7 linked regions of the Coturnix japonica genome follow. The protein of the gene in region 6 purifies or fractionates together with the protein of the main gene of each other region. This does not show direct contact. Links are inferred from orthologs where the notes say so. Each region holds a gene or a part of one and is shown on either strand. Other genes may lie near its edges.

Region 1 (4,839 bases), on a different chromosome or scaffold from region 6:
TGAATCAGAACCAACAAATCCCCATTCTGTTTTCAGTCATACATGAAAAACCTGAAGTCATTTTTCATTCATGTATTGTGAGCACAGAAAAATCTCTTCAAGAAAGTTTTTTGTAAAAGAGAGGCAAAAGATTTCAACAATTCCAGAAGCATCCAAGCCAGATAAGATACTCTCTTCCAGAGTCTAGTTCTATTTTGATTGTTAAGCAAAATAAACATCTTCAACATTAGTTACTTTTTTTCAGAACTATTACATGTTGCCACCAGAACTGACTCTTTTCAGAATAACAACTCATCAGAATAACAGATTTCATAATTATTCCAGAAACCTTTGTAATATTTTTTGCTCACAGATCTGGTCCAAATGCCTCTTCATAATGCAGATTGGTGTTCAGGCATTCTTTAATCATGAAAATGCAGCAGAACAGAAAAATGTTTGGGTGGTTTACTCCATGAAAACAGAAAGTCTATAAGCAGCTCATTACAACATTAAGCATCCACGTGCAGAAAAAAAGAAACAAGCTGCCAGAATTCTCCAGGTTATTTTAAATAGCCCATATGATCAGAAAATTGACACTTCGTGGAGATCCTCACTGAGGATTCATCACTTCTAGAACTGAAATGCAGCATGGAAAGATTGTTTTCACAGAGTGCAAAACAGAAAGAGTAGTTCCATTCAAAATGTGTTTTATTTTCTAGTAAGCATTAGCTTCACGTACAGCAGGTGAATAACTTTCTGTGCAAGACAAAAACTGAAGCGTGTACTGCAATTGAGTTCAGTGTTGTCTCCACACATCTTTTTTTCACCTTGTGACTGACTATAGTGCTTGCTTAAAGTTACGCTATGCTTATTTAGCACAGGAGTTGTATATATATATATATATATATATATAGACTAAGATAAGATCTCATGAAGTGCAATTCTAACAATAAAAAAACTACAAGTTCCAAGCTGTGAAGAGACTGGGTAGCCATTTTGGTGGTGCCAGCCATCTTGGAGCAGAATAGATTTAAATAGCTGAATTTCAAGAAATGACTGACATTTTGCAAAGTTGATAGTTTTAACGTAATCTTGGAAAAGGTCATCTACTCTAGTAGAATCAAAGAAAGAGTATGACAATATATCGTTTCGTGACATGCAAACATAAGAGGAAATAATTTCTGTTCCACATTAAAAGAACTCTGATCCTTGTTTGGCCTATAATGCAGCTGAAAGATTTGGGCATGAAGCTGTGTCAATGATCTTCTCTCATAGGATTTTTATCATTCAGAACCTCATTATGGTGGACAGTGCTAATTTTTGGGCTTCACACAAAGATGAGACAAGGTAGTTGAATGTATCAGAAGTGATTTGCAAGGGAAGGTGAGAAACACTGGTAACAGACAGTAAGGGTACAAGGCTCACAATCCATTCTACCTCAGAAGTAGTGCTGAACACAGGAGGCTTAGGAAGGAGAGATGGTGACAAGCATACATGGAAGTTTCCCACCATGATCTTATCTTGGCAATTTTGTTTTTCCAGTCAACAAAGAAGGGCTGCAGTGGCCAAACAGTGAGACAAAAGAAGGCTAAGGGGGAATGAATCCTTGAGGTTTAAAGTACCTCCTTGTCAACGTGACTGAGTCGTAGAATAAAAACGAGGGAAAATGGTAGCAACCTTAGGCTAGAGACAGTGTATCACTAGCAACAGGATCCCAGCCTTATGCAGAATGGACACCTTGCTGTTGCTGTGATTTACCATCACTGCCAAGATGGGACACAATGGGATTTTGACAGTTAAGAATCCATGCTGGTTACAGAACAGCAAGGCACCAAAATTCGTGAGCAACAGCGTGAAACAAAAGGACAGATACGTGCTAGGTTTGGGTGCGCAAAGGTCAGATGACACGGCAGGAGGATGCATCACGTACTCTGGTTAGTGACTCAGCCAGCCAACGCTCGGCACGGCGCAATGCCGGGAAGGAGAGAGCCCGCCGCGGAAGCGACGGGCAGGGAGCGGGCCGTGCTGAGGTAAGCAGCTCCTGCCAACAACACCCCCAGTCCCCGCCTGGATCTTCCCGCCTGGTCGCAGACGCGCCTCTCCCAGTTCTCCGTCCTGTCCCGTCCCGTCCCGTCCCGTCCCCTCCCCTCTCTGCAGCGCGCGGAAGCAGCAGCACGACTGTTAAAACCGTTACAGCTCCCACTTTCGAACTGATTCAAACTCAGCAGCACTGAGACGCGAGGCCCCTCCCCGCTCCCGTCGGACCCCTCGCCTCCCTCCCCTCCCCAGTCCCCGTGAGGCGGCGGCCGGAGCACCTCAAACTCCAGACCCGCTGCCCGCTCAGCTACACGGACGGGCAAAGAGGGCACAAAACCGCCAGCCCGGGCGGCAGCGCGAGAACAAAGAGCTCCCCCACCCCTCCTTCCCGCCAGCACGTGGGGCACGGACCCCGCCCCTCTCCCCGCCCCTCTCCGCCCCTGATTGGCTCGGGGCGCTCCGTCCGCGTCCGTCCAATCGGGGCGGCGCTCGGCTCTCGCCAATGAACGTGTTACCGATTGGGCCACTGTATTTGGCGCTCGGTCCGGGAGGGTGAATCCGGCAGCCGGAGGCAGGAGGGAAGAAGAGTCGGGGAGCGAAGCGGCTGTGGTGGCGGTGGCACGAGATTGGAGCGAGGGGACGGGTGAGCTGGACGGCAGCGGCAGCAGCACCACAACCACCGTACGGGCTGCGGGCCGGGAGCAGTTATTTATAACCGACTCCCTTTGTTATGGGGGGTGGGGAGGCAGACAGGGAGGGCGCGACCGCCTCGGTCCCGAGCAGCGCGCCGCGTCGCGCTTGAAGGAACGGGATGGGGTGGGGGGCGGCAGCGAGATTCGCGCCCGCTCTGCAGCCGTTGACAGCGGAGGGAGCGGCGCGGAGCCGACGGTGCCTTTTGTCTGAGTTGGCTCTGTCCATCCTGGCCGCGCCGCGCTCGGCGGAGCGGAGCCTTGGGCGGGGGGGGCGACTGGCGCCGTGCGGGAGAAAGAGCGGGTAGGAGCCGGCTGTTTCCTCTCCTCCCCGTTCCTGCCGGCCTCCTGTGGTGGCGGCTGCCTCTGGCACGGTTTCGCTGAGGGGTCGGCGGGGGGATCCGTGTGTTAAACGTACGCAAGGTGAGGTCTCGGTGAGTCCGAAACGCGAAGACAAGTCCGTTCTGTCCGCCTCAGCCCCCTCCGAGAGAGAAGCACGGTGCAGAAGTTGTTACGCGGCGGTAGCCCCCGCCCTGGGGTGCGAGTAGGTCCGCGGCAGCCCCATGTGCCCGCGGTGTCCCGGAAGCGGAGCGTTCCCACTCTCGCCCTCGCACGTTGCCGTCCCGCCGGCCAGTCTGCGACGGGGCTCTCCAGCCCCCGGCGAGTTTCACGGGCACCGAGTGCGGGAGAGCGGGGACGGCGCGGGAGTCAATCTGTCCGGCCAACTTCCTCGTCGGGAAGGGCGCTGCTCGGCTAACCGGCCCTCCAGAGTTCGGAGGGAGCTGGAACTGCTGAGTTGGAGACCTAATGTCGCAAAGCGCGGGTGTGTGGGGCGATCTCTGAAATCGGCATGTTTGGGGAGGTGTGAAAGGGACGGAGTTGTGCTGGAGCAACAGGCGTGTGTGTGATCAGACAAAGGTGATGAAATCAATGTATTGTAGCGCAACGCATGTGTATCTGGTGTTAAGTACGAACATCCAAAAATTATTAGGAATGGGCAGAAAGAAAAGCAGTCTCAGCATAATGTAGCAAAAATGGTATAATGAACCTGTACCTGGCTCAAGATACTTTTTCAAAGTTATGAAACAGTATATTTCATTGGAACTAGGGCCTTGGTTTTTTTCTCTGTTTGGTTTTTTGGTTTTGTTTTTGTTTGGTCTGTTTATTTGTTGCAGGATAGGTTTGTCTTTGTGCAAGTCGAGCAATTGCAGATCCAACCGTTCAGTACTTCAGCGAGACTTTACTGGTATTTTTAGTACACGATAAACTTCTAAACGGAGATTTCCTCATATACAAGTCCTTTCTCTCTTTTTCTCTTTTTCCTCTTTCCCCCTACCCCACCCCCCTTTTTTTCCATTATTTTTTAATTTATTATTATTATTTTTAGGGCTTGGCACATTCCGGTTCTTTGTGACTTGTAAAAATTAAAAGGTCATTCTTTGTTTGTCCCCAGTGTCTGTATCAAATTGAGAGTTCAGGGAATGTTTAATTGTGATAACAATAACGCATCTTCAGAAGGGTGAGTATTACTTGTCCACAGTGTATGGTAGCTATCCTTGCTTTATATTAGATCATAATAATATAGATAAGGCTTACAGTGTCTTTCAGAAAACACGGTTCTAGTACTTTAGGAGGTATTATTCAAAAGTTTTATGCAATAAAATACTTTTTTAGACATTCTAAAATATTACTCTGAAAGTGACATACACTGAAAATACTTATTGGCAGAAGAACATTAAAAGTCTTTGCTCAGTTTAAAATCAGATAAAGCAATAGTCTATAAGCTTAGGCTGGAGACTAGAAATTCAAAATTTTTTGCTTTCCACATGGTATTTTCTTCTACCTAGAATTTTCAATGAGTTGAAATATCGTGGGTGACTTTGTTGGAAATATGCCTTCTAATGGGTTTATATTTGTTCTATGATATGGCATTTGTAGGTGAGATGTAAATGTACTTCAGCTTATCTACAAGGAAACTTTGGCTTAGCAAGTAGGGAATTCTTGTAGTACATTAGTGAGTGTACTAATTGTATATATGGAGAGTGCAAACTAACTGCTGCTTTCTGTGAATCAACATACGTCAGAATGAGCTGCATGTCACATACGCCAACAGTGTACACAGAAGCTGGTGCGT
Region 2 (4,081 bases), on a different chromosome or scaffold from region 6:
TAGTCTAGTGGTAATCATGCGTGAGATGAGTCAAAGCCTATTAGAACAGGATACATGTGCTTGTTGGAAGAATTAAAGAAAACCCAGGAGAAATATTAAATCAGAAGCAGAAAGTTAGTTCTAATTTGATCTGATAATAAAAAAGCAAAGTTGTCCTCATTTGGCTTCCAAGGAAAAACTGGGAGGAAAAAAAATAAATGCATGGGCTTTTTTTTTATTATTATTATTGCATGTTTCTCCTGCATTTGATTTCAAATATTGAAGACAAAACATTTTTAAACCATCATGTTAATACTGCTAGTTAAGTGTTCAAATTGCAGAGAGAATTGAAAACTGTCACTTGTGTCAGGCCTGCGAGGTGGTTGAGTCTAAAGACCTACGGGCTACTCATGTCCTTGACAGAGGAAAACCAGCAAGGTCTCCCCTCAAGTTAAGTATGAATAGACTTTCATAAAGCACTTCAAAGGAGAGGCTGAAAAAACAGTTGAGTTGAAAAAGAAAATAGATGGAGAAGAAAAATTAAAGCCTCGTGAAATCTTTACAAACCCAAATATCCTCCCCAGACTTTAAATTCATATCTACAGAATTAACAACTGTTAATAACATCAGATTCCCATATAATTAAAAACAAACAAACAAAAAGAAACAACAAGGAACTTTCCTTCCTCATCTTTCCTGTATCAACTATACTCAGATTTTTCATTTCTCTTTCTCTGTTTCAGTTCCCAGTTGGCAACAAACGCATTTTTGTAAACGGCTGCTCCATACCCTTAGCCACTCCATGCCTTCCACTTGGTACCACCTCATGACACCTCCAGTAAAAATCTTTGGCTGCTGAAAAGGCACTGGTTGTCCGTTAAATTTCCGCACTGGATCAAGGAATTGCTTGGCACTGTGTCGTACAGCTTGACACAATCTATCCTTAATGACACTATTTGAGTCCCCATTTTTCTGCAGGTCTTCTGGACACAGGTTGTCAGCAGAGCTTTCATCCTATAGAAGAATGTTCAAGGAATAAGTGACAAGTAGAATGCATTAATAAAGCCCAGCTAAGATGTATTTCTACCAGATGCTACAACTGTGGTAAGTCTGTGCTAGTCTGTTACAGTGTACTGAAGCAAAACAGCCCCTGACACAAAGGTTTGTTTTTAGTAACTGTCAACTGAACTGTAGAATCTATTTTAAGGGTTGATGTCACCATAAAAGCAGATGTATCCATGCAAAATCTCAATACCTTATAGGCAGTACTCTTTACTACTTTGGAGAAGAGACAGCACAGGACTTAAACAGCGAGCAAAGATTTACCTACAGGAAAAGTTTTAAAAGCCCGCCCTCCCTCCTTTCAGGCTCTAAATGTTTAAATTGTAGTAATGTTTGCCAACTTACCTGATTTTCCACTTTACTTTTTTTAGCCACAGATAAGATTTCCTGGGAAAAAAACAAAAAACCTTATACTTAAACCTTATACTTAAGTACTTCTAAATCTGAAAGGCTACAACAATTTGTATTCCAAAAGATCTTTTAATTCAAGAATCTGGACATACTTTAAATAAATTTCCATACATAATAATTAATCCATCATTGACTCTAAACAAGGCCACCCGTCAGCAAATTTCAATTACAAGAGGACTGGAAATTCAACTGGAAGATGTATTCTCTTCTCATCTACCTCTCCAAAGACTTTAAGATAAGTATTTTGATTCTATAGGTCTGCTTGTTAAGAAGGTATTTGCTAGAATAAATATCTTACAGACTACTGTTGGCTGTTAGTCAGCCTCTGATGGCAATGAATAAGGATGCATTGCTACAAAACACAGATGTCAGTGATCATCACATCACTTAAAATTATGCTACAGGAGTTCAAACAAATCCATTGACAGATACGGCCTACCTCTTTGGACATAATTTCTGAAATGTTGTATGTTCCGTCATCTCTCCCTCTCTTCTTCTTTGTAGCTGTAACATAAGATTTGAGTTTATACAACACAGTAAATTTTGAAGGAACTAAAAAACACTGGTACTGACAAAACAAAGACTTTTTTTTTTTAAACTTTTACCAGTTACCTGATTTATCTTCTTTCCCATCAGCTGGATTTTGACCCTAGAAAATAAACACAGGAAGAGTTTCATAATCTATCTCAACACAAAAGAATATGGCATCAGACTCAAGCCGTTATTTTTGAAAGCTTTTTGAAACACGATTACTATTTTAAGAAACAGCAAAAGCAGGTAAGCACCAGACTTTTTCATCTTTGCTTTCATATGCCAGCACTTAGGCTCTCGGTTGACCAAGTTAAGTAATCACTCTTTAACAAAATACCAGAATTCAAGACAAATCTATTCCACTCCCTTTAATAAAAATTAGTCAAAGTCTCCTTAGTAAGACAGTCTATACTATGTGATTTTTTTTAAGTGCAGTTTAAACAGTTTTATCACAGCTAAATACCACGCTATATTAGAATCATGGAATCACAAAGGTTGGTAAAATCTTTAAGATCATGCAGTCCAACTGTCCACTTGTCATCAAAACTTTCCACTAAACCATGTCCCTCAGTACAACATCAAAATGTTTCTTTAACAACTCCAGAGATAGTGATTCTGTCTGTGGGCAGCCCATTCCAGTGCCTGACCACCCTCTCAGAGAATTATAATTTCCCAGTGTCCAACCTGAATCTCCCCTGATACAACTTTAGGCCCATTCCCTCTGATCCTATCACTAGTAATGCAGGAGAAGAGGATGATCCATGGACCTCAGCCCAGCAATCCAGCCTGTCCAGGTCCCTCTGTAGGGCCTTCTTTCTACCAAGCAGATGGACTATTTCTGTCATTTTGGTGTCATCTGCAAACTTATTGAGAATGCCCTCATCTAGATCATCAATAAAGATACTGAACAGGACAGGCCCCAGCAAAATCATTGACTAAATCTTATATCTTTAGAAGTTTTTATAAATAGATGTATCTTCAAATTAAATACTGGGCAAGTCTAACTTCTTTACCTTGACTAAAAGATCCAAATTGATATGGCAGTTTAACAGACTTTAATTAGAGAAAAGTTACATAAAACAGCTGGCTGATCTTACCTTGGCAGATTTTAACATCATCTCCCTCTTCTTTTCTAACTTCTCTTTCCTTTTCTGTTCCTAAAAAGACAAAGATAATTCTTAAATAACACCTACAAAGAACTATCCATTACAGAAATAACAGATGCAAATTACATTGGTAATCCAGATTTCTGGGTATTCTATAACTTGTTTTTGCAGTCTCAACGCAAGCTTCTATTCTGACAGTGACATTGTTTAAAAAAAAAATAATCATGAAATAAAACTTAGGTGAGAAAGTGCAACTGCTCTGAATTATGTGTCAGTCACTGCTCTAAACACTTTCAAATACAGTAATTTAGACAGACTCCAAAGAAAGACGTTCCCAATTGCAATCTCCTTCAAGAGATCACATTTACTATGTTAAGTATTTGATGTACACAGCTCTTCAACTTTCACATGTTACCACTTGTGTTCATTGTAGAACAGAAAGCAATGCAAGTATCCTATAGTGCCTTTAAGGAAGAATTATTTTCATATCTTGATGAATCTAAGATTTTTTTTTTAAATGTTATCTACTATTTTTACTTGCTGAAAGCAAAAGAACCCTGGGGGAAAAAGATATATATAGAACCTTGCTAATTATAAGATGAAGTAATGAAAGACTTAATATTAAAAAGACACTCTATTAATGCAGTAACCATGAATTCAAGCTGACAGGAGAAGCTAGAGGATTATTTTAGAAAGGAGCTTTAAGCACTTGCCAGTGCCACTTTTCTGAGCAAGTCATTAACCTGCATCTTCTCCTGAGATTCCTCCTTCCTCTAAAGCTCAAACTCTCACAAGTCTGTACATACAGGGACAGTTAATAAAACTCAGACAAAGCCAGATGTGAACTTAGCCCATAGATTAAGACAACAAAAATATCAAATCGATTTATGGAAGTTTGAGACAGCTTGGCCTCAGCAGGTCACTGTAATTTATACATTTGTATTCCAGTAGCATCCTGAAAACAAGCCTCATCCTCAACCATCAGTAAAAAA
Region 3 (4,081 bases), on a different chromosome or scaffold from region 6:
GCCTTCTGCCAGCTCAGTCTCCTTTGGCCCTCCACTTTCCTCCTCCCCCCCAAGAGACTTGTGTTACTAAGCTTCCTATGTCCTGGCAGTCCTGCGCAGCCTCTGTGGCTGGCTGGAAACGTTGCACTTGATGCCTCTAAATTGATCACAGCTGGGCTAGTTGGGCTCTGCTGGTTCTGAGAAGGTGGAATTAAGAGGCAAAAGTGACTCCCTCTCAGAGTTTGGAAAGGAAGATGGCGTGACAGAAGCAAACTCGGGAGATGCTCCTTACTCTGGAAGAAACTGGCGTTTCTTTGATGCATCAGCTGAGCTGCAGCCATGCTGCAGTGCTCTGATATTTACTGATAGAAGGACAAGGAGTCAGAGCACTCCTGGTTCTTCTGGAGTATCACAGTAGAAGGGTGGATGGAGGGAGGAAGGGGTAATCACATTGACAGCCCTGCTCTGCTTCTGTTAGTACATGCTGGTACCTATAGAGAAAGGAATTTCACTATCGTGACAGAGTTGGTAGGTGAAGGAGGGGATGCCCTGGAGACTCGCAGGAGAGAGGGTTCTCCAGGGTTTCTAAATAAACAGAAAGAATACAGAGGAGTTCCTGTGGTTATCTGGCAGTTCTTCCCCCAGATAAATCAGATAAAGGAATAGTGAAGGCCGTGCATTCTGTTAGATTCTTTTTGGTAATGGGATAAGTGACTCATAGATGTGGTAAGGATATTACATGTATGAATAGTGGGTTCAGTAGACAGTCATGTCCTTGGATAATGTTATAAATAGTCAGGAGCACCACTACACTCTCTAATGGCTGGAAAATAGCAATTGATCATTTTGTACTATTTTAGACTTTTCTAACAAATAATATGTTGTGACAGGATGATGCAGGGACTTCCTTATGCAGACAGTGCAGCTTCTCCTGCTTTAATCAGATTTCCTCCACTCATAAATAAAAATCAATGGACTGGTCCTCTCCTGCAGCCCCTGGGGTCTGTGTGTGAGCAGTGATCACTTCAGGTAAGGTGTCACAACCGCAGGTAGGCTTTGCAGCTGGAGTTTGGGTAAGCTGGGTCAGAGATGCTAAGGGAGAAGAGCTCAGGTTAAAAACAGTTCTTTGTTGTTTGTTTTTTTTTCCCTGTAGGTGTGTTGATTGTAGGAGAAATGGAGTTTAAAATAAATCAGGGAGTTTAGTTTTACTGAGAAAAAGCAGTGAATCAGACCTCAGCTACAGAGCAGGAGGGGCAGCCTGCTAGTGAGGAGCAGACACTGTGTTCCTTACGGACTGCTGTGGTGATGGAGGCAGAGTGCAGTACACCACGCTCAGATTCTGGTAGGGGTGTTTCCTCCTATGAACTTTTCATGTTTATGTTTCTGTGCTGGAATTGTCCTTTGCCAAGCACTGGGAGAAAGCAAGGTTTTCATCTGAAGGGATTTAGAGAACTCAAACAATGTTGTACCACGCTGACAGGTGGCAAACAGGATGTGGAAGGTTTATAGGTGTACACAGGGGTGGCAGGAGGAAGCCCCAGTCCTTGAGGCACAGCAGAGTGAGTGACACTGCTGGGAAAAGCCCTGCTGATGGAGCCTGCTGTCACTGGCAGAGCAAGGTGCCAGAAGACAGCTCTTAGGCCCGAAATGATACACTGGTGAAATGTTGCAGAAAGCATGCTCAAAATCTGACTGGAGCTGAGCTCTCATGAACGACTGGCTCTTCGTCCCTGTGGTCTGGGCAGGGGCCAGTGCTGGAACCAGTACAGACGATAACATAGCTGGCAATGAAGAGCAATTATTTTTCCCTTTATCTTCCTGTGACTTGTACTTTTGAACAGTAACAAGATTTAGCGCGTATGTTCTTGTTCTCTTGGTCACTGACACCCGCTCTTCCTGGCAAAAGCAGAGAGTGTATTGTGAGTCAGGCCCCTGGGACTGCCCCCTCTGTGGCTGCTTGGCTGTTGCGTATTTCCAGTTATGATTTTTCTTGCAAGGAACAAATGAGTCCGGTCCACATGCATGTTAGTTAGTAAATGATGCATTTCTTCCTGTGAGAGCAGCTTTCACAGCTTCCTGCTGCCCTGCTAATGCTATCTGGCACACATCTGAATTACTGTGAAAAAGCCAGGGCTCATCAAAGCAGTGTGCAAAATCTTCCTCCGCACAAGCACAGAGAGTGTTTTGGTCTCCAGTAATTTCATTTCCTTTAATTTCTCCTGTTCCAGCTGGGCCGATGCACAAACAGTGTGGTTAAGTATGAACTGATGCGCCCGTCTAACAAAGTCCAGCTTTTGGTGCTGTGTGAGGACCATAGAGGGAGGATGGTGAAACACCAGTGTTGCCCTGGCTGTGGATACTTTTGCACTGCAGTAAGTCCGTGCTCTCAATCTAGGGAAGGGGGTACTTGTTGCAGTAGCTGGAAGAGGTGAAGGTGGAGATTTACCCAAAGGGGTTTACTGACTTCCTGGCATAAGCTCCACCTCATTCCACAGCACATCAGATGGCATTTTCAACAGTAATGTGTTTGAAAGTAGCTACAATGCTCACCTGTAACTTCCTGGAGACCCCGAGGGGTGTCACCGAAGGGGTGGAATTCATACCTTTGGAATTTTTTTGGAACATTGTTTGTTTTTTTTTTTTCTTCCTCTGTGCAGTCAATCACATCACAAATGGTGTTAGCCTTAGTCTGCATACAGGACAGGGGTTCTGTCCCCCGTGCCGCACAGTGAGGTGGGGGAACCAGAGTGATGGCACTGGAACAAGGCAATGTTTGAGATCTCCTCCTCCTTCTCTACCACTGAGGTTTTAATAGCATTGGCCCAGTGCTTTGAGCCATCGTTGTCCTTGTTTCCTTGCTGGTGAAACACTCATTGAGAGCCTCCCGGGGTGATAGGGTGGGTTAATTGTCTGATGTTAGCGTTCTTAAAGATGACTCGATGAAAGGTATTAGAGTAGTCTCAACATTATTATAACTGTAATAAATGGTACCATCCCGAGTTTTCATGCTGAGTCAAAGATCATTTGAAAGATATAATCCTCAGAACGCTTGAAGACATTTTGCAATGCTGAAATAGTTAATAAGATGTCTTGGGAGGACTGTGAATCCAGGAGAAGAGTGGGTTTAAACTAACTTTTCCTTAATGCTGTTACATCTCTGAGTGACCTCATAGTTCATAAAGGTGAATCTGGCAGTGTTTGTGTTATCAGTCACTAGTAACACAGAGCACCGTAGGGCTTTAGGTAGCACTGATATCACAGAACAGTGAGTTCTGGGGTGCAGTTCAACTTGGAGGACTTTGCTGGAAAGAGAAGATAATTTGTAGAAAGGTGGCTCACATCTGTCAGCAGATGGGGTTAAAGAGCATACAGGGCTGGTCCAAACAGAGGAGTTGCATGCTTTGGGTAACACTGGGGTTGACAGCTGATGTAATTGTATCATTGTTGTTCCTTGAATGGTTTGTGTGCAGATGTGTTTGGTAGTTTTAGTGCTGACTGGTTTGAAGTTTTCTTTTCCAGTATTGGGAGCGTCCTTACAGTACACTGGCACTTCTAGGAACGTAAGCAAGAACCTCAAGTGTTAGAGCTGGAAAATGGGACTCTGTGGTTCTGTTTCCCACGTGCAATTAAAAAACTTGCTTTGCAGTTCCTAACCAAGTGAGTTTTTTCCCATTACCTTGGTTTTGTTCTCTTCTAAAGAAGTGGCAGTGCTTGCTTACTGTACTGGAAGCGCGAGGGACAAGAGAGGTCGTGAATGATGTGTTTAAGAGCTCTGCGGATGAAGCATGTGGAAGGGGTAAGGCTCGTAGTGACCAAGGTGTGAATATCTTCTCTGTAATTTTTTTAGGGCACTTTCATGGAGTGTCAGCCTGAGAGCAGCATCTCCCACCGTTTCCACAAGAACTGTGCCTCCCAGGTCAACGACACGAGCTACTGCCCACACTGCGGGGAAGACGCCTCCAAGGCAAAGGAGGTGACAATAGCAAAAGCAGACACGACTTCCACGGTGTCACTGGCCTATGAGCAGCAGAAACCAGCAGCAGTGGAGGGAAGGGCTGACACCACGACAGGGAGGTGAGCTTGGGAGCTCGTGGCAGCCTCA
Region 4 (4,562 bases), on a different chromosome or scaffold from region 6:
CACTCTAAACTTCAAATGACAGCAACACATTGTTGTGCTGCTACCATATGAAACAGCAGAACGTAAATCCCAGTGCTGTGCCAGCCCTGTGGGGACACACACCTCTCCCCCCCATGTTACCTGATGGGGCTGTGGAGTGAATGTGGCCGCACTGATGGCTCCTGGCTGCTGCCGTCAGCCATGAGATGCCACACGTGGCTTGTAGTTAACTTGACATTACCTCTTTGAACTTCACTTTAACTAATAAACCAGCCTGTGACTTACTGATTGCCGCTGTTCTACCGCGAGCAGGTTACAAACACCTGGATCTATCTCAGCAATAGCAGCATGAGAACAGTCTTGTTTCCCTGGCCAAGCATTCTCTTTCCACACCGCACATGCTTATGACGGCAGCACGGCAGCTCACACCTCCACACCACACGTTGGGCCACGACCCCGGCTGCAGTGCAGGGGGGGACACTGTGATCCCAGCAGCTGATCCCAGGCCTGGGGAGAGGCAGGTCCGACAGGAACACGATGTAAAAGGGAAACGGCCGCTGGGGTGAACCCAGCCCCAAAGCGGGTTAGTGCCAGACGTCAGTAGGAGGAAGAAAGCAGCGAGTGGGGAAACTGCCCTTCTGTTCTGAGCGCAGGATAAAGGGACACAACAGGAAAAAGGAAAAGGAAAGGAGAGAGCCGGGAGCGCTAACCCGGGAACGAGGCAGGGGAGGCACGATCCGACCTGTTGTTCCGCACATCTCACACCGGGGCCGCATGGGCCGAGCCGGCGGGGCGTCCCGGTGCGGGGCAGAGGAGCCAGGGATGGAGGCGGGATGGAGGCAGCGCAGCCCGGAACAAAAGGCACCGACCGCCGCCGCCCGGACACAACTTCGCCCCGATCGCGGAGCGGAGCTGAGCTGAGCTGAGCTGAGCGCCCCGCACCTCACCTCACCACCCCGCCCCGCCGCCCCCCGCCCCAGCCGGCGCCGCTCTCCCGCACCTCCCTCCTCACCCCCCCCCACGCGTCCCCCTCTCGGGGCCCCGCCGAGCAAACCCGACCCGTTGGCTTCCCCCGGCCGAGGGGCGGCCCGGCCCCGCGCACCTCACGGTGACTCCGTCCCCGCGGCGCCTCCCGGCCGCGCGCAGCTCCGTGTTCGTGCGGGCGGTGCCGCGCCGGGTCCCGCTCCGGGCAGCGCGCGCCGCGCCCGCAACAAGCACCGAGTCCGGGCGCCGCGCGGACACGCCCCGCGCGCGCTGAGGGGCGGGGCGACCCCGCCCACCCCGGCAGCCCATTGGTTGGGGAGGGGAGAGGGGGCGGGGCCAGGCCGAGGGCGCGCGCCGGGATCGTCGAGAGGGAAGACTACGCATCCCGGCGTGCACCGCGCGGTGCGGCTCCCGGCTTTAAAGCAGAATGCCAAAGGTAATGGTGTCCTTCCGCCCGCGCGGAAAAAGTAGTCCCGGGGTGTAGTTTGGCCTCCTGCTCTGAGGCGGTGGAAAGGGAAGGGGACGGGGCAGGAAGCGCTGCTGGGGTCGGCTGTTGCGCTTCCAGCCCGGGTTCCCTTTGGGGCCTCTCCGGGTAGAGCTGTGGTGAGGGGCGGAGGGATCCGCGCCGGTGGAGGCGCGGTGATGCGGCTCTGTGAGGGACGCGGCGGCGGCGGGGCCGAGGGGACGCTCAGTGCCGGGCCGAGCCCCGCAGGTCAGTGCAGCGGGACGGGCCCGCTCTGCCCGCTCACCGCACGGGGCGGCCCGGGGCGCTGTGTGGAGCCGGGGGCGGCGTGACGGGACCGGCCGGCACGGCCTGCACGCGCCTTCGGGCCTGCCGACGGCTGCGGCTCGCGTGGGGCTGAGCGCTCGGCGCGTGTCTTCGTGCTCATCGCGTCTGTTGTTGGTGATCACACGGCGGTTCCCCGCGGCTCCATCGTTCTCATTACCCGTTACGTTATTGCATCCCTCAGTAGTCCCTTATGGAGCGGGGTGCTCGGCCTGCTGCCCTCCAGTTCTGTTAAAATAGAGAAACTACAGTGTGTGACTTAACTCCACTGTTCCCAGTATAAATCTAGTCTTTCTATTCTACCTGCATGTGTTGAGGTCCGTAGCTGACAGGTGCCTGTTCTGTGGGTGAGGGTGAGCCCCGTTTCCAAAGGAATGCTGTAGCTACAGTGCGGCCTTCAGCTCTACATGTGTCAGACTGTGACTTACACAAACTCCTGTGCTTTGCAGGGTTTCTAAACGCCTTCCATCTTCTGTTCTTGCAGGACACGTTCCCTCGGTGGCCACGGCTGTGTCTGATGGCGAGGGCTGCACAGAGAGCTGACGTGTGCTGAGCTGCCCAGAGCTCCCGGTCTGCTGAGTGGAAGCAGTGAGGGTGAGCTGAGTTACTGCTCTATACTCACCTGGCAGAGTCACTCCTCCCGTCCCGCTGTAAGCTGGTACAGGTTGCTGCACTGTTGCTCCTCATCCTGCCCTCCCCAGGCTGTGGCTGGAGGATCTTTACTCCCTCCCACCTGAAGCATGTGTGGAACTGTGCTGGTTTTTGTAGCACTGAGGCATACGAGGCATATCTTTTTCTTCCTTTAATTCTTAAAGCAGCTGAAGCTGTCTGATAATTCTGTCTCGTTCTGGTTTTTATTCCTCTGGTGTTGAATGCAGATGAATTGTAGGCAGTTCAGTGCTGTCATGGGTGAAGCCTGCTCTCGTTCCATTGGTGTCTTCAAGTTCATATCTTTAGTTATTCCGTGGTATCCAAGGGATTGTTTGTGGCCAAAAGAAACTTGTGATAATGTATTAATAATCACCTTTCAAAATAAGTCATCTGCAGTATTTGTTAGGACTTATGGGTGTTGATGTGCCTGGTTTGGGCTCTGTATTGTTCTGAAGGAGCCAGAGCCAATGAGTCTTAGCTGCTTTAATGAGATGGGTTCTCGGTGTTAAATGAATGGTGGTCAATAGAGTTAGCTCTGTTTTGTGGTTCCTCTATGGATAACTCGCATGGAATTAGCTGGTGTTTTTGTGGATTATTTAGTTTGGAGTTTACTTGGTTGCAGTTTGAAAGCCATGGGGGGCCATTGTTATTTGTTGATCCAAAGCTGGATTTGATTGTGTGAAATGAAGAGCATCCCACAGTAGTGCTCAGGAGACGTGGTGTCTGGCGTCACGATTGGGAAAGTCAAGTGTCAGTCTCCATAGCTGGGGGAGCAGAGGAGAGAAAGAGCTGTGACACAACAGGTTCTGGTAATAGCATGGGAATATACAACAGAAAAACAGCATCAAGCCAAGTATTGGAAACAGTAAACTGTGAATCTTCTTTCACGCTTCTAACTCTGGAGTTTGCTAACATTGCATTTCTGCTATGGAGGTGGGTGGGGAAGCGTTCCCAGCATGGGGTGAACGGTGCACCAAGGTAGGAGGAAGTTTGTGTATTAAATATGTTTTAGTGGTGCTTTTAAATACTACTACAAACCTTTTTCCTTGGTGCAGTGGTTCTTTTCTACTTCCCCACAGCCTATTGTTCTTTAAGAACACACATCTCCTTGTATTTGTTTTCACATATCCAGGGTGTTGGCAAGGACATCTGCTGCTGCCAAAAGGGTGGAAATTCAGGAATTAATCTAGGAAGATATTCCATGTGAAGCTACCACTGCATTGGATGCATGAGTGTTTTGGAGTCTCAAGGTTTAGAGACTATTTTTAAGTGCTCTTAAGTTCTTCTGTAGGGTGGGTATTGTCTGGCTGAAATAGAGCTGAGACAACCAGTATTTGCCTTTATCCTCTCTTTCACTACATGGGAATGAATTTGTCTCTATTCTTATGCTCAGTTTAATTAAGGTAGAAAAGTAAGTATTATGCAATTCATATGAGATATGAAGAAGCAATGTCATAGATTGTTTTCTAACAAGCTCTTGTTAGAAAAATAATCAGAATCCGGGGGATTTCGAGCTCTCTATTTCCAGACTCGTGGGAAAGAATCTCATCTTTCATTAGCAGAATAAATGTTTAGCTTGACATCAGAAAGAAAAAAAACTGAAAACGTCAAGTCAGCTTATGAGATAATCCTAATTCTTTTTCTGGTATTCAGATTTCCTTCCACTTATGGCTATTTTAGGGCCCTCAGTTACTGGAATCGTTTCCAGTGTTCTTCATTTTTGACATCGCTTGAGTTGTAGGGGGATAGAAGCTGAATCTCAGGCCACGGAGTTAGAAATGTAGGTCAGTATTGGCAGTGCTACTTGTATCCTTCCTTCCCTGCCAGCTGCTGTGCTTACTTCATGCTTTGCTGAACCATTTCACCTTGTGTCAACTAAAAACATCAACACAAAGCTATTGTTTCTTTAGCATGCTGATACACAGACATTGTCTAATGACCAGAGCTCTGCCCATCTGAAGATGCTGTGGTTGAAGTAGCTGGTAGTTCAATAGGTTTGGGCTAGTCTCTCCTATGGCAGTGGAAAACTGCTGTTTGGTCCTTCTAGGCCTGGTTTCTCTTCACTTGGGCAGGTGATCTCAAAGCACTCAATAACAGGCTGCTAACAAGGAGAGTCCAACTAGCAAGAACTGTTGGTGTCTGGGGGTGGCTCATGTAAATT
Region 5 (4,081 bases), on a different chromosome or scaffold from region 6:
AAGGATTGGGTTGCTGCCCACATATTACAGGAAGAAAAACATTAGTGTTTGATGATACAGCTCATTTTGCAGTTACTTCATTCCAACTGTAGCAGATGTTCTGCAGAACACTCTCTGCGCATACTTTTTGCTGGAGATGTCGCATTTCTCAGCAGTTCCTCTGTAAACATAGACAGGAAATCCAAATATGAAGCATGTATTGGTGGTACACCTGGATTCGTATGCAGTGGATAGTTGTGGGCCGGAAAATGGAGTTTGAAGGCAATAATGTGGAATGAGTTCTCAGTCCAACTGTCATTAGGAAGGAACTCGTAATTTATGATACTAAGTTTAAAAATAGTGGCAGTGGTGTTCGGGGCCTGCAGGTTAACACAGAGTGTCATTCTGCAGAGAACAGAAGGCAAAGAGGAACAACCAATGGGTGCCGACACTGCCCAACAGCTCTCATCACCTGGATGCAGTACCATGCTCAACAACCATTAACAGAAATCGCATGGGCAGGGACAAGAAGAGGACTTTCCCTCTGTGGTAAGACAGCTTCCTTCTTCAGAAAAGTGGAAACAGTTACTAACATGACACACTGCAGGGGGCTGCTCTGATAGGCAGGTGGCTGCCAGAGCCCTGTAACTTTGTGTTGAGGATTATGTCTAATAATTGAAAAGTTGAAGTATAGGGATGGTAACAATAAAAAGCACCTTCCTTCTATGCATGCCAGATGTATCATTTTCTATTCCACATGCCCTATTGATGTTCTTTGTTCTAGCTTTGATGACCATGACCCAGCAGTCATCCATGAGAACGCATCCCAGCCGGAGGTTCTGGTTCCAATCAGGCTTGATATGGAAATTGATGGACAGAAACTCAGAGATGCATTTACATGGAACATGAATGGTATGTAGGAGGGAGAGTTTCCTGAGACTAGAAAAATACAGTTGCATTCATTACCAAATATGAAGAGAGAACAAGCAAGTCCTTGCCCCATATAGGAAAATCTTTTAAGCTCTTCTACAGTGATGTGTCCTATTCGGCTCTCATGGCTCTTAGCAGATCCCTAACACTTCCATGGATTGCAGTAATTCCTGAATACCTGTAATCTGAAAAGTTAGATGGGATCTTAATTTTGTGTATTCCGTAAGTGGCAGACATTGGTGGCTGAGAAAAATGTCTTCTTGTTCTGTATCAGAAAAGCTGATGACCCCAGAAATGTTCTCAGAGATTCTTTGTGATGACCTGGATTTGAATCCTCTGACCTTTGTCCCTGCTATTGCCTCTGCCATCCGACAACAGATTGAATCATACCCAACTGACAGCATCCTAGAGGATCAGTCAGACCAGCGTGTTATTATTAAGGTAAATTACAGGGAGGCAGTAGAATGAGAGCTGAACTATACTTGCATTTCTCTAGTTTTGTGTTCTTGGTTTTTTGGATTTTTTGTTTATTTATTTATGGGGGAGAGATAGCACAAAGACTTCCCTCAAAACCAAGGAGTTCCTAATTCCAATCCTTTATCCAGGTTAGATTTTGTCCTTGAGAAATGAATGACTCGTTTCTTCCCTTGTCTCCAGCTTAACATCCACGTAGGGAACATCTCCCTTGTAGACCAGTTTGAATGGGACATGTCAGAGAAGGAGAATTCACCAGAGAAGTTTGCCTTGAAGCTGTGCTCAGAGCTTGGCCTGGGTGGGGAGTTTGTCACTACTATTGCCTACAGCATCCGGGGACAGCTGAGCTGGCATCAGAAGACATACGCCTTCAGGTACAGAACTGCCATCTTTCTGGATGGGTGTAGATGTGTTTTCTTACTTCATGGCTGTTAACGTCAACGAATCTTGAACTGCTGACACAGTGTAGAAAGCTTAATTTGAAATTGGTTCTTATAGATTGTATACTATATAGTTCTTAAAAGACTGTTTTATTTCTTGGACATCCTTTTGTTTCATCAATTGGTGATCCCCTAAGCTGGTATTATCTAAGGACCACTGCTTGTGCAAGGTTAGCAGCTCACATGGTTTCATTTCTTCTCACTGTTCTGGACAGTTGTCTGTCTTGAAGTGGCAAGTGAGTCACACGTCATGGGACGGTGAGGTGTTACTGGTGAGCTGTAAGAGACACTGTGCTGCTTGTATGAAATGGATGGAGTCCTCTGGATAACAGAAATGTTAGTAGTGGATCTAACCATAGCACTCTAAATGTACGTGACACATTTGCAGTCATGTCTTCCTCAGGCACAGCCCCTTGTTGCTGGCTGCCTGACTGGTGAAGAAATGAAGAGTTTTGATCTGGAGCCTGGTGTGTTTTGTTCTGTAGATCCTGGTGCCTCTCAACCAGCTTGTGCTTTTGCTCAGAGATCTTTTTGTGGTGGGTGTAGTGCATCCCAGGGCCAAATATCAATGAAATCAGTTTTTGCCACAGAGTGAAAGGCTTTTCTAATTAACACTGTCAGAAAACCTTGTGCCTTCTTCTAATGTCTGCACATGATGAGCCTTGGATACGTTTCTGTCTCATCAGCTCTGTCTGACCTGGGCCAAGCTTTGGTCTTCTGAGCTAAGCCTGACTGACACTGTAGCTCTCTGCCCTGGATGAAGTTGAGGTTGGTTTGATCACAGGCAGTTCTCTTAGCTGGAACGCAACAGTGTCAGGTTTGATTAGTCAGCTTTGTAACTTGCCTCCTAATATTAATTATTTCCAGTTGTGCTGTGCAGAGTTCTGTGGCAATGTACTGCACAGATGTTATCCTCCATATGTTGCTTAGTCTGCAGTCTGTTAAGTATTCCTTAATGTGTGCTGGTGGGTTTTTTGACCTCAGGCCATGGTGACACTTGAGGAAGTTTGAGAGTTCAGCAAGTGATGTATTGCAGAGGTGGGAGAAAGGTGCTACTGGCGCTGGTTTTGTGGAGGTCAGCTCAAGGAAGCTTGCAGCTAATCCCTAGTGTGGTTCACATGGAAGTTAAACTCTTCTCTAGGAGCAGGGAGTTGACTTCTCCCTTGCTATCCATGACAGCAGATTGATATTTGCAGATCTGTGCTGTGGAACAGCTAGAGCAGTGGGTATGTGTTGCTGAGGATGGGTGGGAGCTTGGAGGGCAGTCAGTGGCAATATGATGCCTCTAGTACTGCTTCTTCTTCCCTGCTGCTTTACACATCTACTTTATATGTGTCCCTGGTTGCTGAAGAGTGCTTTGTTTTTGGGGTGGCTCAAATAGGTAGATTTCAGGCCTTCTTTAGGCTGTTGCCATTTTTTAAGGGGGTGATTTAAAAACGAGGAAGGAAAGCACAGAAATAAAGTACAATAGCTGTGAACCATTCAGAGGCAGAAAGCACCTAATTTAAGACTTGCTTTTTTTGTCACAGTACAAATATGCCCTCCTCTTCCCTCTCTTCTTTTTGCAAAGGAGTACTTTTGAAACCTTCCTGTGATTAATGATGTTTGGGTTTTGTGGTTGGGTAGTTCCTGAATTCCCAAACCACAGCAGTGATGGTTGCTCCAAAGTTATTCCGCCGATGTAAGGAAAGATTCTGCTGTAGATGTATCAAAAGAACCTTAAAATCTCCAGGAGTTGGAGATTTGGGAAGTCATGTGTCTCTTAGTCATCAGAGGGAGAGCTGAAACTGTCCTTCAGTTGATGAACTCCAGGGCAATTATTTCAGCTGGTTTCTCTCTGCAAAACAAGGGGAGCCTGAGAGCCCAATGGAAGGGACAGGATTGGAAGTGGCTGGTAGCTGATTCAGTTGTGATTTTCAGGGGATGGTGTACTAAACATTTCCTGCCTCAGTGCTGAGATGTTTCTAAGGGCAGCACGCAGTTTTATACCCAGACTTCTGCCTTCAAAACCAGAATGACGTTGTATTGAACATCAAACCTGCATGCCTATGGGGTTGTTCTTTTCAGAGGAACACCTCTCCCTCTTGGCTGCAGTGCTGTGCCCCAGTAGAGGCAGTGCAGTGCTCCACTGAATGCCACAGCTGACAGTGCCTTTCAGTCATTCTGCCAGCACCTCTTGTTTAACAGATAAAGGAGGGGGCATTGTCCTATGATGAAGTTTAGGAGATGAGGGAGGATTTTTCATTTTCTCTATTTCT
Region 6 (4,241 bases):
TGATCTTCTAGGTCTTTTCCAACCTTGATAATTCTGTGATTCTGTGTAATATTCTCTTATGTGTTGCTGCCCTGTGACAGATGGCAGCAGAGGGGCTGTACGATAGAATGGCGTCTGACATGGTAGTATGGTGTGACACTAAATTCCACCATGTAGAGAAAATGGCACCCATTGACTTTCATTGCTGTTTGCTGAATGTTTTTGGGTACCAAACAGTAGCTGTGAGCACCATGAGGTGGTAGGTGATGTGTTTCAACAGTGATCCTATTGACATGAAAGAAAGACAAGCTACATTCCAGACAGTCACGTGCAGCAGTCACACCATGAAATGAAGAGTGCCTGAATCAGCTCATCTACATGATTTGGCTAATGCTCGTAACTGCGTTTGAAAAATGGTATTTCGTAGCTGAGAATTTGTGTTATTACAAGAATCACAGAATGACCCGGGTTGGAAGGGACCTCAAGGATCATGTAGTTCCAACCCCCCTGCTTGGCAGGGCCACCAAACATACACCTTTACTAGATCAGGTTGCCCAGGGCCCCGTCCAACCTGGCCTTGAACACCTCCAAGGACGGGGCATCCACAACCTCCCTGGGCAGCCTGTTCCAGGGCCTAACCACTCTCCTAGTGAAGAACTTCCCCCTAACATCCAACCTAAATCTTCCCTCTTTCAACTTAAAACCATTTCCCTGTGTCCTGCTATAGTCAGCCCTTTGTTATTGTGCTCTTTGTATCTGTTGTTTTTTACATGGAAATAGGGGCATTACTTTAAGAGCAACTTACATAGATACCTTCATATTACATTATGTTAGGCCATATCTGCTTTGTGAAGTGTCCTTATTTGCCCTATTACTTCAAAAACAGAAAGTTGGATTTTTAGAATCCTTCGATATTTCTAATCTTACTTTAGTGCTTGCTCTTCTTGGTGATGCTATTGAAGGCTGGTGTTTTCCCTTCCTTGTGGCCCGGAGCTCACGTTGAAGAAGTGAAACTACAGCTGCTTTGTAGCAGTGCTACTTCTTACCCTTGCTTACCAAAACATGAAAAATTACGTTTTGAAAACAATGTTCTTTCTTTTCCAGTAGGCTGGAAAATTTTGTTGAAAAAAAATGTTGAAAATTATGAAAGAAAAATAAAATGTTTTGGAAGATAAAATCAGTAATACTACCAAGGAATTTCCTCAGAAGGAAAGAAGAGCTATTGCGAATAATTGACAACGTGATAGCTCTTGAGAACTTAATATACCTACTAGGCTTGTCCACATCTCCTGAAACACATGGAACTTAAGTTTTATTCAGAATGGTTTGTTTCTTGGAAAAGTCTGTGTTTGGAGCAGAGGCAGGTGTGTTCTCCTGCTGTCCAGGATGGAGGAAAACAATGTCTGGTGACAGTAGCCATTCTTTCTTCCTGGAAAGAAGTGATCAATATGTTACGGTAACCATGTGTCTAGTCATTATTCAGTTTGATGAGAGTAGGGTTCATCTGAGTTGCAAGGCAATCTACTGTGGACTGGATCTCTAGCAGCAGGTGGCTTGGAAATGTTTGTGCATGTGATTACAGCAGCAGGTTTGAAGCTAACTTCTGGAATGTAACTGTTAGGATTAGCTAGGAAGGGCAGCAGGGTAAGGAAGTATCTACTTAAAATCAGTTCTTAGAAAATGGTAGGTTTTGCTACAGCTGCTGTTGTGGTATAATGTCACTGTCAGTGGTGGTTTCTGCTCCCTTCATAATTCCTATTTTGTTTCCTGTTATTCTGTTCTCCAGTTCCATCCCATTGTTTTCTTCATTCATGATTTGAAACCACTCTAGGCACTTCTGCTCCCCCACTACTGTTGGCTTGTAGTAAAGGTCTTAGTTTTGGTCTTTTTTGCCATCTGCTTACAGCTTTTTTGGCTGTTTGTTTTCCTTGTGGTGTGTTTGAAAGAGCAGTTCGTTCATATCTCTTTTTGGAATCATCATATTTACTTGTCTTTTGGGAGTGATTCTTCTAAGTAGCAAAAAACTTGTTTTGTAATGTCAGTTCATTTCTGTATATTGACAGGTGATATTGGAAACTATTACTATGGACAAGGGCATCCAATGAAACCTCATAGGATCCGAATGACACACAACTTGCTCCTAAATTATGGCTTGTACAGAAAAATGGAAATTTACGTGAGTATAAGCAATGGAATGTTTACTGAAGTATAAGCAATAGATTGTCCACTGATGTATTGGAAGTTGGCTTCAAGTATTCTTACACAGATAAACAGGTAGAAGTGGGAGTAGAAATAGAAAATGCTTAGTGTATTCAGTGTACTTTTACTTCAGATTGAAGTGCCTTTTAATAAGGAATGTTTTTTTATATATGTATATAAAATGTGTGTGGGTGTATATATGTTATAAATATATATATAACCACTGCTGTCCCTTTCTGGAAGGAGTGAAAAGCAGCGCCAGTAGAGGCTTTAATGGTATTTTTATGATTATGTGGGGGTGAGATTATGGTAACTGCACAATGAATTTAGTGGGTTCAAGCTATCAGAGTAATCCTTGCTTTGTGCAAAATACCAGTAGTAGTAGTTTCACTGTTCTCCCTTCAGAGCAGGTTAGATTTCTTTCAAGCTGTCTGTTTTAGTTAATTGTTAACTGGTTTTGCAGCAGTGCTCTAATTATTTCCATAACTTATTCTTCTTATCAGCGACCCCACAAAGCTACTGCTGAGGAAATGACCAAATACCATAGTGATGAATACATCAAATTCCTCAGATCAATAAGGCCTGACAATATGTCTGAGTACAGCAAGCAGATGCAAAGATGTAAGTGTCAATATTAAGTAAATTCTAAGTTTGTACGTCTGCTTCATTGGTTGTGGTGTTTAAACTTAAATATTCAGCAGTGTGATGTTACAAATAGTAGCTACATTAATTTTGTGTCTTTTAATAAAAAGCAGCTATGTTCAAATAAATATTCCTGACGTTTACGAAAGGACTTGCATGCAGAATGTCTGCTGGGTGCAAAATAATACTTTCTATAGACTTCATGCACCGGGTTAAACTTCAGCTGTTAAGCATTTGCAAAACTGGCTTAGAAATACCTTCTAATGCAAATTCTTTCTGAAGGAAAAAATAATGGCTTAAAGAATAGTAGTAAGATATTAAAATGTGTTGAAGTCAAGAAATCGAGTTGACTCTCTGGTTGGAGTGAGGTGGTGAAAATAGCACGTTATTCACGTTTTCTGTTAAGTAGTTTTTCAGACTTTAGGAGTAAGTTCAAATTACTGTCAGAAATACAGTTTAACACAGCTCTACCAATATATAATATGTGTTTGTAACTCTTTACAGTGCCTTATTCTCGATGTATTTTTCCAAGAAGCTGCACATTTATTAATATGATGTTAATCAACACTTGTTCTAAAGCAGACAAATGATTTAACTTATTAATGAGACAGCTTTCTATGGAAACAAAGAAACAAAACAAGCAAAAAAACCAGTTTGGAGTCATCTTAAATGGTAAAAACTGTGCCAACAGTTGTTTGATTACTAGGAGCTTGGGCAAACTTTATATTTGTTTCAGTGTTTAAAACTTAGCTTGACAGAAAAGGGGAGAGGGGGGTAAAAGTAGTTGAAATGCTAAATGAATTCTGCATTTTTATGCGCTACCCTTGCCTATAGCAATGCTATTAGGATTATGCTTTTGAAGAGTAATGTGTTTCTTGCACAGTTAATGTTGGAGAAGATTGTCCTGTTTTTGATGGCCTGTTTGAGTTCTGTCAGTTATCAACTGGAGGCTCTGTTGGTAAGTACAGATTGTTTGCCAGATATTTTGTAGCTTTATTATGTTTATGTCAGCTACGTAAACCTTCGGTAATATAGATCCTGAAGCAAATACAAGTTTGTTTTGCATAGCAACACAAAGATTAACAGTTATTTGATCTATCTCATATTTGATTATTTGTATATCATGAGATCTAGGATTAAGTGTGAGATTTAATGACTTAAAAATGAGATACTGTTTCCTTTAACAAATTTAAAGACCTTCAGAAGTTTCTGACTGTTTTGTTTCAATTTTGTGTGTGTCTTTCTACAGCTGGGGCGGTAAAATTGAACAGACAGCAGACAGACATGGCTGTAAATTGGGCTGGAGGACTTCACCATGCCAAGAAGTCAGAGGCATCTGGTTTTTGTTATGTCAATGATATTGTGCTTGCCATCCTTGAGTTACTGAAGTAAGTTTTATGGTAGAAAAAGACAAAAAAAAA
Region 7 (3,732 bases), on a different chromosome or scaffold from region 6:
ACAGCAGCCGGCGTGGGCTTCTGCTTCATGGCCTGCAGCATCTCCACCAGCTTCTCCTTGTCTGCCGCATGGGAAGCTGAGGTTTAGTGTAGCCTCTGCTCAGCCGGGCACCAGGCAGCCCCGCGGCACGGGGACGGGGACCCCCACCCCAGCACGGGGCATGGCGTTACCTTTCCTCTTTTCGGCGCTGATGTGCGTGAGGTTGAAGATGGTGAGGAAGCGTTTCTTCTCCTCGAAGTTGGGGCTGTTGTTCATCTCGTCGGGGCTGTAGCGGGTGGAGAGGGGGAGGCGTGGGGATGGCGTGCGGCGCTTGTTCTGCACCGTGGGTGGAGAGGGGCTGCGCTCCCGCAGCATCCGCCGGCGTTTGCGCCGCTTCTGGCTCAGTAATTCCTCCTTCTGCTGCTGCGTGGTGAGGCCGAAGAGCTGCAGGAACTCCAGCTTCTGGGGCGTGAGGGGAGAGCAGAGCTGGGTCAGCCCCACAGCAGCACAGCACCTGTTCCCATCCCTGTTCCCATCCCCATCCCATGTCCATTTCCATTCCTATCTCCATCCCCATCTCCACCTTCAACCTCAGCTCTATCTCCATCCCGTCACCATCCTCAACCCCATTGCCATTGCCATTTCCATCCCCAGTCCCACTTCAGCCCCACATCCAGCCGAGTGCTGTGCCCATTTACCTCAGAGGATGTGTCCAGCTTCAGCGGGGGCTGCTCGGCCACACAGCGGAGATGTGCCCGCACCTCCTCCTCGTCGCTGTCATCACAGGAGTCATCCAGGTCGTAGTAATAACCTGGGGATGGGGAGAAGCTGATATCAGCCAAGGGGGGCCATGCTGGGACCCCCCCATATATACTGCTGGGACCCTGGGAAGCTGCTGGGACCCCAGGAATGGTTGGGATTCTGCTGGGTGGGGATGCTCACCACAGCATCCCAGCTCAGCTCTGTTTTGGGATGGCTTTGCAGGGGGACTGGAAGAATTATGGCTCTGTGGGCTGCTTGTAGTGGGAGGGCTGACTCTTCCCTTTGCTGCTGGGGCACCAGGGAGGGACACAGCCCAGGAGCACCTTGTGCCAAGGACACTGGGGACACCACTGCCTGCCTTGATGGGGAGCACCGGGCTCAGCAGGTTAATGGGGCACAAGGGGGGATGGCAGTGCTGCCCCCACACCTCGCTCCATCTCCTCCTCGCTGCTGTTCACATCCCCGCTCGCACGGCCCTATTAATATTTAAAGCCAGCTTATTAGCCTCAGTTCATCATTTATTAATTGGGCATGTCTAGAGCGGAGGATTTACCAAGCCGCTCTGATTTGGCTTTCGGGAGCACTTGCATCGAATGCCTGCGGGTTGAGCTGATGGCATCACTGGGGAGCCCCCTCCTGGCCTCCCCCATTGGGGTCCTGGTGGGGGGTCCCAAACCCCCTCCTCACCTTTCTCCCGGGCCTCCCGTCGTCGTCGCTCCTCCAGGTCCAGTTTGCTGACCAGCCTGCGGTGCTGCTGCACAAACTCGTCGTAGATGTACATGGGGTCCTGCGTGCGGGGCTGGGGGGGTCTGTAGGGCGAGCTGGGCTTGGTCACCTCCCCAAAAGGGGTGGCTGGGGGTCTCTGCTGGCTCAGGATGCTTTGCGTGGATTTCTCCAGCTCGGCCAGGAATGGTGTGTGGGTGAAGCCTGTGTGCTCTGCAGTGCTGGGTTCCCGTGGCACGGGGTATTTGTCCAGCGCATCCCTTTTCCTTGAGCTGTCTTCCAGCTTCTCGGGGCAGAAGACTCTCTCCACCTTCACCAGCGGGATGCCCTGCCGGCTGGGCTCGAAGGGGGCCGGGTGGCCGTGGAGGATGTGAGGCTCAGGGAGGCGCCGGGGGGGCTCCGAGGGGCTGTCCATCAGGGAGACGGGGTTCCAGAGGGATGTGGCAATGGGGTGGTGCTGGGGTTTGGGGGAGATGAGTGGTGGTGGACCACCAAAGTGCTGCCCCGGCTCGCGGATGCTCGGCTCGTGGCGGCTTGGTCCCGACCTGCAGGAAGGAGAGGAGAGGAGAGGGATGGAGAGGAGAAGCAAATCCTCTCTGCAAGCTGGATCTATGGAGAAATGATCTGTTGGATGCACGTGGTGGAGGGGGGAGGGTTGGGAACGGGATACAGGGCAGGGGACCCCTCTGTGGGACCGGGATGGCACAGGCTCTCACTGCACACAGAGTGACACTACAGTGAAACCTTCCCTAAACACCCAGGGAAGGAGCAAACCTGTTAGCAGGATAAATATTTCATGCTCCGGAGAGGAGCGTTTAACGCTTTTCCACTCGAGCGCTCCAGACCTCTGTGCAGCAGAGCAGGGAGGGCTCAGTGCTGCCAGTCGGGTCACAGCTGCCATCGCTCTATGGAGAGCTCCTGCAGGCACCAGCACTGCGGGCTGAGGGCATCACCTGCCCCAGTGGAGAGCAGGGTCCCTGTCCCCATCCCTCCCCACCATCTGGGGGTCTCTGGCAGCACTTACAAGGGGCTGGGCAGGATGCTGAGTAAGGGACTGGGATAGGAGTAGGAATGAGATGAGGATGGGATGAAGATGGAGATGGGATAGGAGGGAGATGAGGCTGTAAGAACACCCCCCCACACACTCACTGCTGTGCTCAGGGTGACCTTGATGTCTCCTCCCTGCTTTGGGGAGGGATGTGTGGATGGGGGCGGGCGGCTGCAGCAGGCACTTGCCATTGTGCCGCCCCGCAATCCGCTCCTTGTTATACTCGATTAGCCGCGCTAATCCCCTTGATATCCAAAAATAACAATGGGAGCCGGCAGCAGAGCCGACTGGATAAGCCCACACCACCAGAGCGCTCAGCAACAGAGCGAGAAAACCCGCGTCAATGCAGAGCTGTGGGCACGGGCTGCCCCCCTCGCCTCATCCTACTGCGCATCCCCTCTATCAGAGAAGCAGCTTTCAGGCTGCACAGGGGAAGCTGCAATTAGCGATGTCGCTGCCTCGGCAGCACCTGGCTGCTCGCCGTTGGCCCCCAGCCACCTCCCGGGCTCACCGCCTGCTGCCGCGCAGATGTCAGGCAGTGGCACCGCACGGCGCTGCCAGCACAGCCGGCCCGGCTGGCACAGCACGGCGGGGACCTGCTGGCACCGGACACACAGCTCGCCTGGTGCAGGGGGGGAAAGCATGAAGGCTGAGCTTGGGGGGAGCTCGTCCTGCTCAGAGCCAGCTCGCAGGGTGGCGAAAATGGCAGCGAGATGGGAAAATCCTATGAAACCAGCAGGAAAATGGGCAGAGGGAGCATGGAAAGGGGCATCCTGCATCCTGGCAGAGAGGATAAACCCACTTGGGGTGTGCAGCCCTACCTGGGGTTGTCAGGTCGGTGCTCGGGCTCAGGCTGGCTCGGGGTGCGCCCCATGTCGAGGTGCTGCTCCAGCACCTGCTGGCGGAACTCCGACACCTGGGACTGGCGGTCCTCCTTCTCCTGGCGCAGGCGGCGCTGCCGGGCCAACCATTTCTCCTCCTCGTTGGTGCGGTGGATGAGCAGCGCCGTGGCCGCGCTGCTGCCAGGCAGAGGGAAGACGTTGTGGTTGGGGATGAGGCTGGGCACGGGGTGGTGTGAGGCAGGCGGTGGGTGCAGCGGGTGCTGGAGGGGCTTTGGCGTCGGCAGCACTGAGTCCTTCAGTTTCTCTGGGGAATAAAAAAGAGGAGACAGAGGGTTGGTGGGGTGCAGGCTGAACCCCAGCTGTGCGTGGAAGAGGGTC

Evidence for each region.
Region 1: the proteins of HDAC2 (region 6) and EZH2 purify together in Homo sapiens (affinity purification with western blotting; 5 studies listed by BioGRID, with this or other methods). This does not show direct contact. The link is inferred for Coturnix japonica from reciprocal best matches to the Homo sapiens genes HDAC2 and EZH2.
Region 2: the proteins of HDAC2 (region 6) and HELLS purify together in Homo sapiens (affinity purification with western blotting; 3 studies listed by BioGRID, with this or other methods). This does not show direct contact. The link is inferred for Coturnix japonica from reciprocal best matches to the Homo sapiens genes HDAC2 and HELLS.
Region 3: the proteins of HDAC2 (region 6) and EHMT1 purify together in Homo sapiens (affinity purification with mass spectrometry; 3 studies listed by BioGRID and IntAct, with this or other methods). This does not show direct contact. The link is inferred for Coturnix japonica from reciprocal best matches to the Homo sapiens genes HDAC2 and EHMT1.
Region 4: the proteins of HDAC2 (region 6) and HMG20A purify together in Homo sapiens (affinity purification with mass spectrometry; 6 studies listed by BioGRID and IntAct, counting the BioPlex papers as one, with this or other methods). This does not show direct contact. The link is inferred for Coturnix japonica from reciprocal best matches to the Homo sapiens genes HDAC2 and HMG20A.
Region 5: the proteins of HDAC2 (region 6) and SMARCB1 purify together in Homo sapiens (affinity purification with mass spectrometry; 5 studies listed by BioGRID and IntAct, with this or other methods). This does not show direct contact. The link is inferred for Coturnix japonica from reciprocal best matches to the Homo sapiens genes HDAC2 and SMARCB1.
Region 7: the proteins of HDAC2 (region 6) and GSE1 purify together in Homo sapiens (affinity purification with mass spectrometry; 5 studies listed by BioGRID and IntAct, with this or other methods). This does not show direct contact. The link is inferred for Coturnix japonica from reciprocal best matches to the Homo sapiens genes HDAC2 and GSE1.

Annotation. Positions count from the first base shown.
Region 1 is NC_029517.1:75,450,687-75,455,525, reverse strand, and holds the start of EZH2 (histone-lysine N-methyltransferase EZH2), read left to right. Parts: upstream 1-1,900; 5' UTR 1,901-1,950; coding exon 1,951-2,009; intron 2,010-2,485; exon of another isoform or gene 2,486-2,697; intron 2,698-4,839. UniProt on the Homo sapiens protein: Polycomb group (PcG) protein. Catalytic subunit of the PRC2/EED-EZH2 complex, which methylates 'Lys-9' (H3K9me) and 'Lys-27' (H3K27me) of histone H3, leading to transcriptional repression of the affected target gene.
Region 2 is NC_029521.1:14,021,142-14,025,222, forward strand, and holds part of HELLS (lymphoid-specific helicase), read right to left. Parts: intron 3,141-4,081; coding exon 3,081-3,140; intron 2,102-3,080; coding exon 2,065-2,101; intron 1,957-2,064; coding exon 1,892-1,956; intron 1,429-1,891; coding exon 1,387-1,428; intron 994-1,386; coding exon 769-993; intron 1-768. UniProt on the Homo sapiens protein: Plays an essential role in normal development and survival. Involved in regulation of the expansion or survival of lymphoid cells. Required for de novo or maintenance DNA methylation. May control silencing of the imprinted CDKN1C gene through DNA methylation.
Region 3 is NC_029532.1:1,222,345-1,226,425, forward strand, and holds part of EHMT1 (histone-lysine N-methyltransferase EHMT1), read left to right. Parts: intron 1-2,207; coding exon 2,208-2,351; intron 2,352-3,826; coding exon 3,827-4,053; intron 4,054-4,081. UniProt on the Homo sapiens protein: Histone methyltransferase that specifically mono- and dimethylates 'Lys-9' of histone H3 (H3K9me1 and H3K9me2, respectively) in euchromatin.
Region 4 is NC_029525.1:2,279,273-2,283,834, reverse strand, and holds the start of HMG20A (high mobility group protein 20A), read left to right. Parts: upstream 1-1,548; 5' UTR 1,549-1,675; intron 1,676-2,234; 5' UTR 2,235-2,344; intron 2,345-4,562. UniProt on the Homo sapiens protein: Plays a role in neuronal differentiation as chromatin-associated protein. Acts as inhibitor of HMG20B. Overcomes the repressive effects of the neuronal silencer REST and induces the activation of neuronal-specific genes.
Region 5 is NC_029530.1:7,053,063-7,057,143, forward strand, and holds part of SMARCB1 (SWI/SNF-related matrix-associated actin-dependent regulator of chromatin subfamily B member 1), read left to right. Parts: intron 1-390; coding exon 391-528; intron 529-763; coding exon 764-891; intron 892-1,183; coding exon 1,184-1,350; intron 1,351-1,566; coding exon 1,567-1,757; intron 1,758-4,081.
Region 6 is NC_029518.1:58,974,045-58,978,285, forward strand, and holds the start of HDAC2 (histone deacetylase 2), read left to right. Parts: upstream 1-1,441; coding exon 1,442-1,472; intron 1,473-2,042; coding exon 2,043-2,155; intron 2,156-2,681; coding exon 2,682-2,799; intron 2,800-3,703; coding exon 3,704-3,778; intron 3,779-4,069; coding exon 4,070-4,208; intron 4,209-4,241. UniProt on the Homo sapiens protein: Histone deacetylase that catalyzes the deacetylation of lysine residues on the N-terminal part of the core histones (H2A, H2B, H3 and H4).
Region 7 is NC_029526.1:15,701,854-15,705,585, forward strand, and holds part of GSE1 (genetic suppressor element 1), read right to left. Parts: intron 3,659-3,732; coding exon 3,334-3,658; intron 2,010-3,333; coding exon 1,429-2,009; intron 791-1,428; coding exon 678-790; intron 442-677; coding exon 171-441; intron 77-170; coding exon 1-76.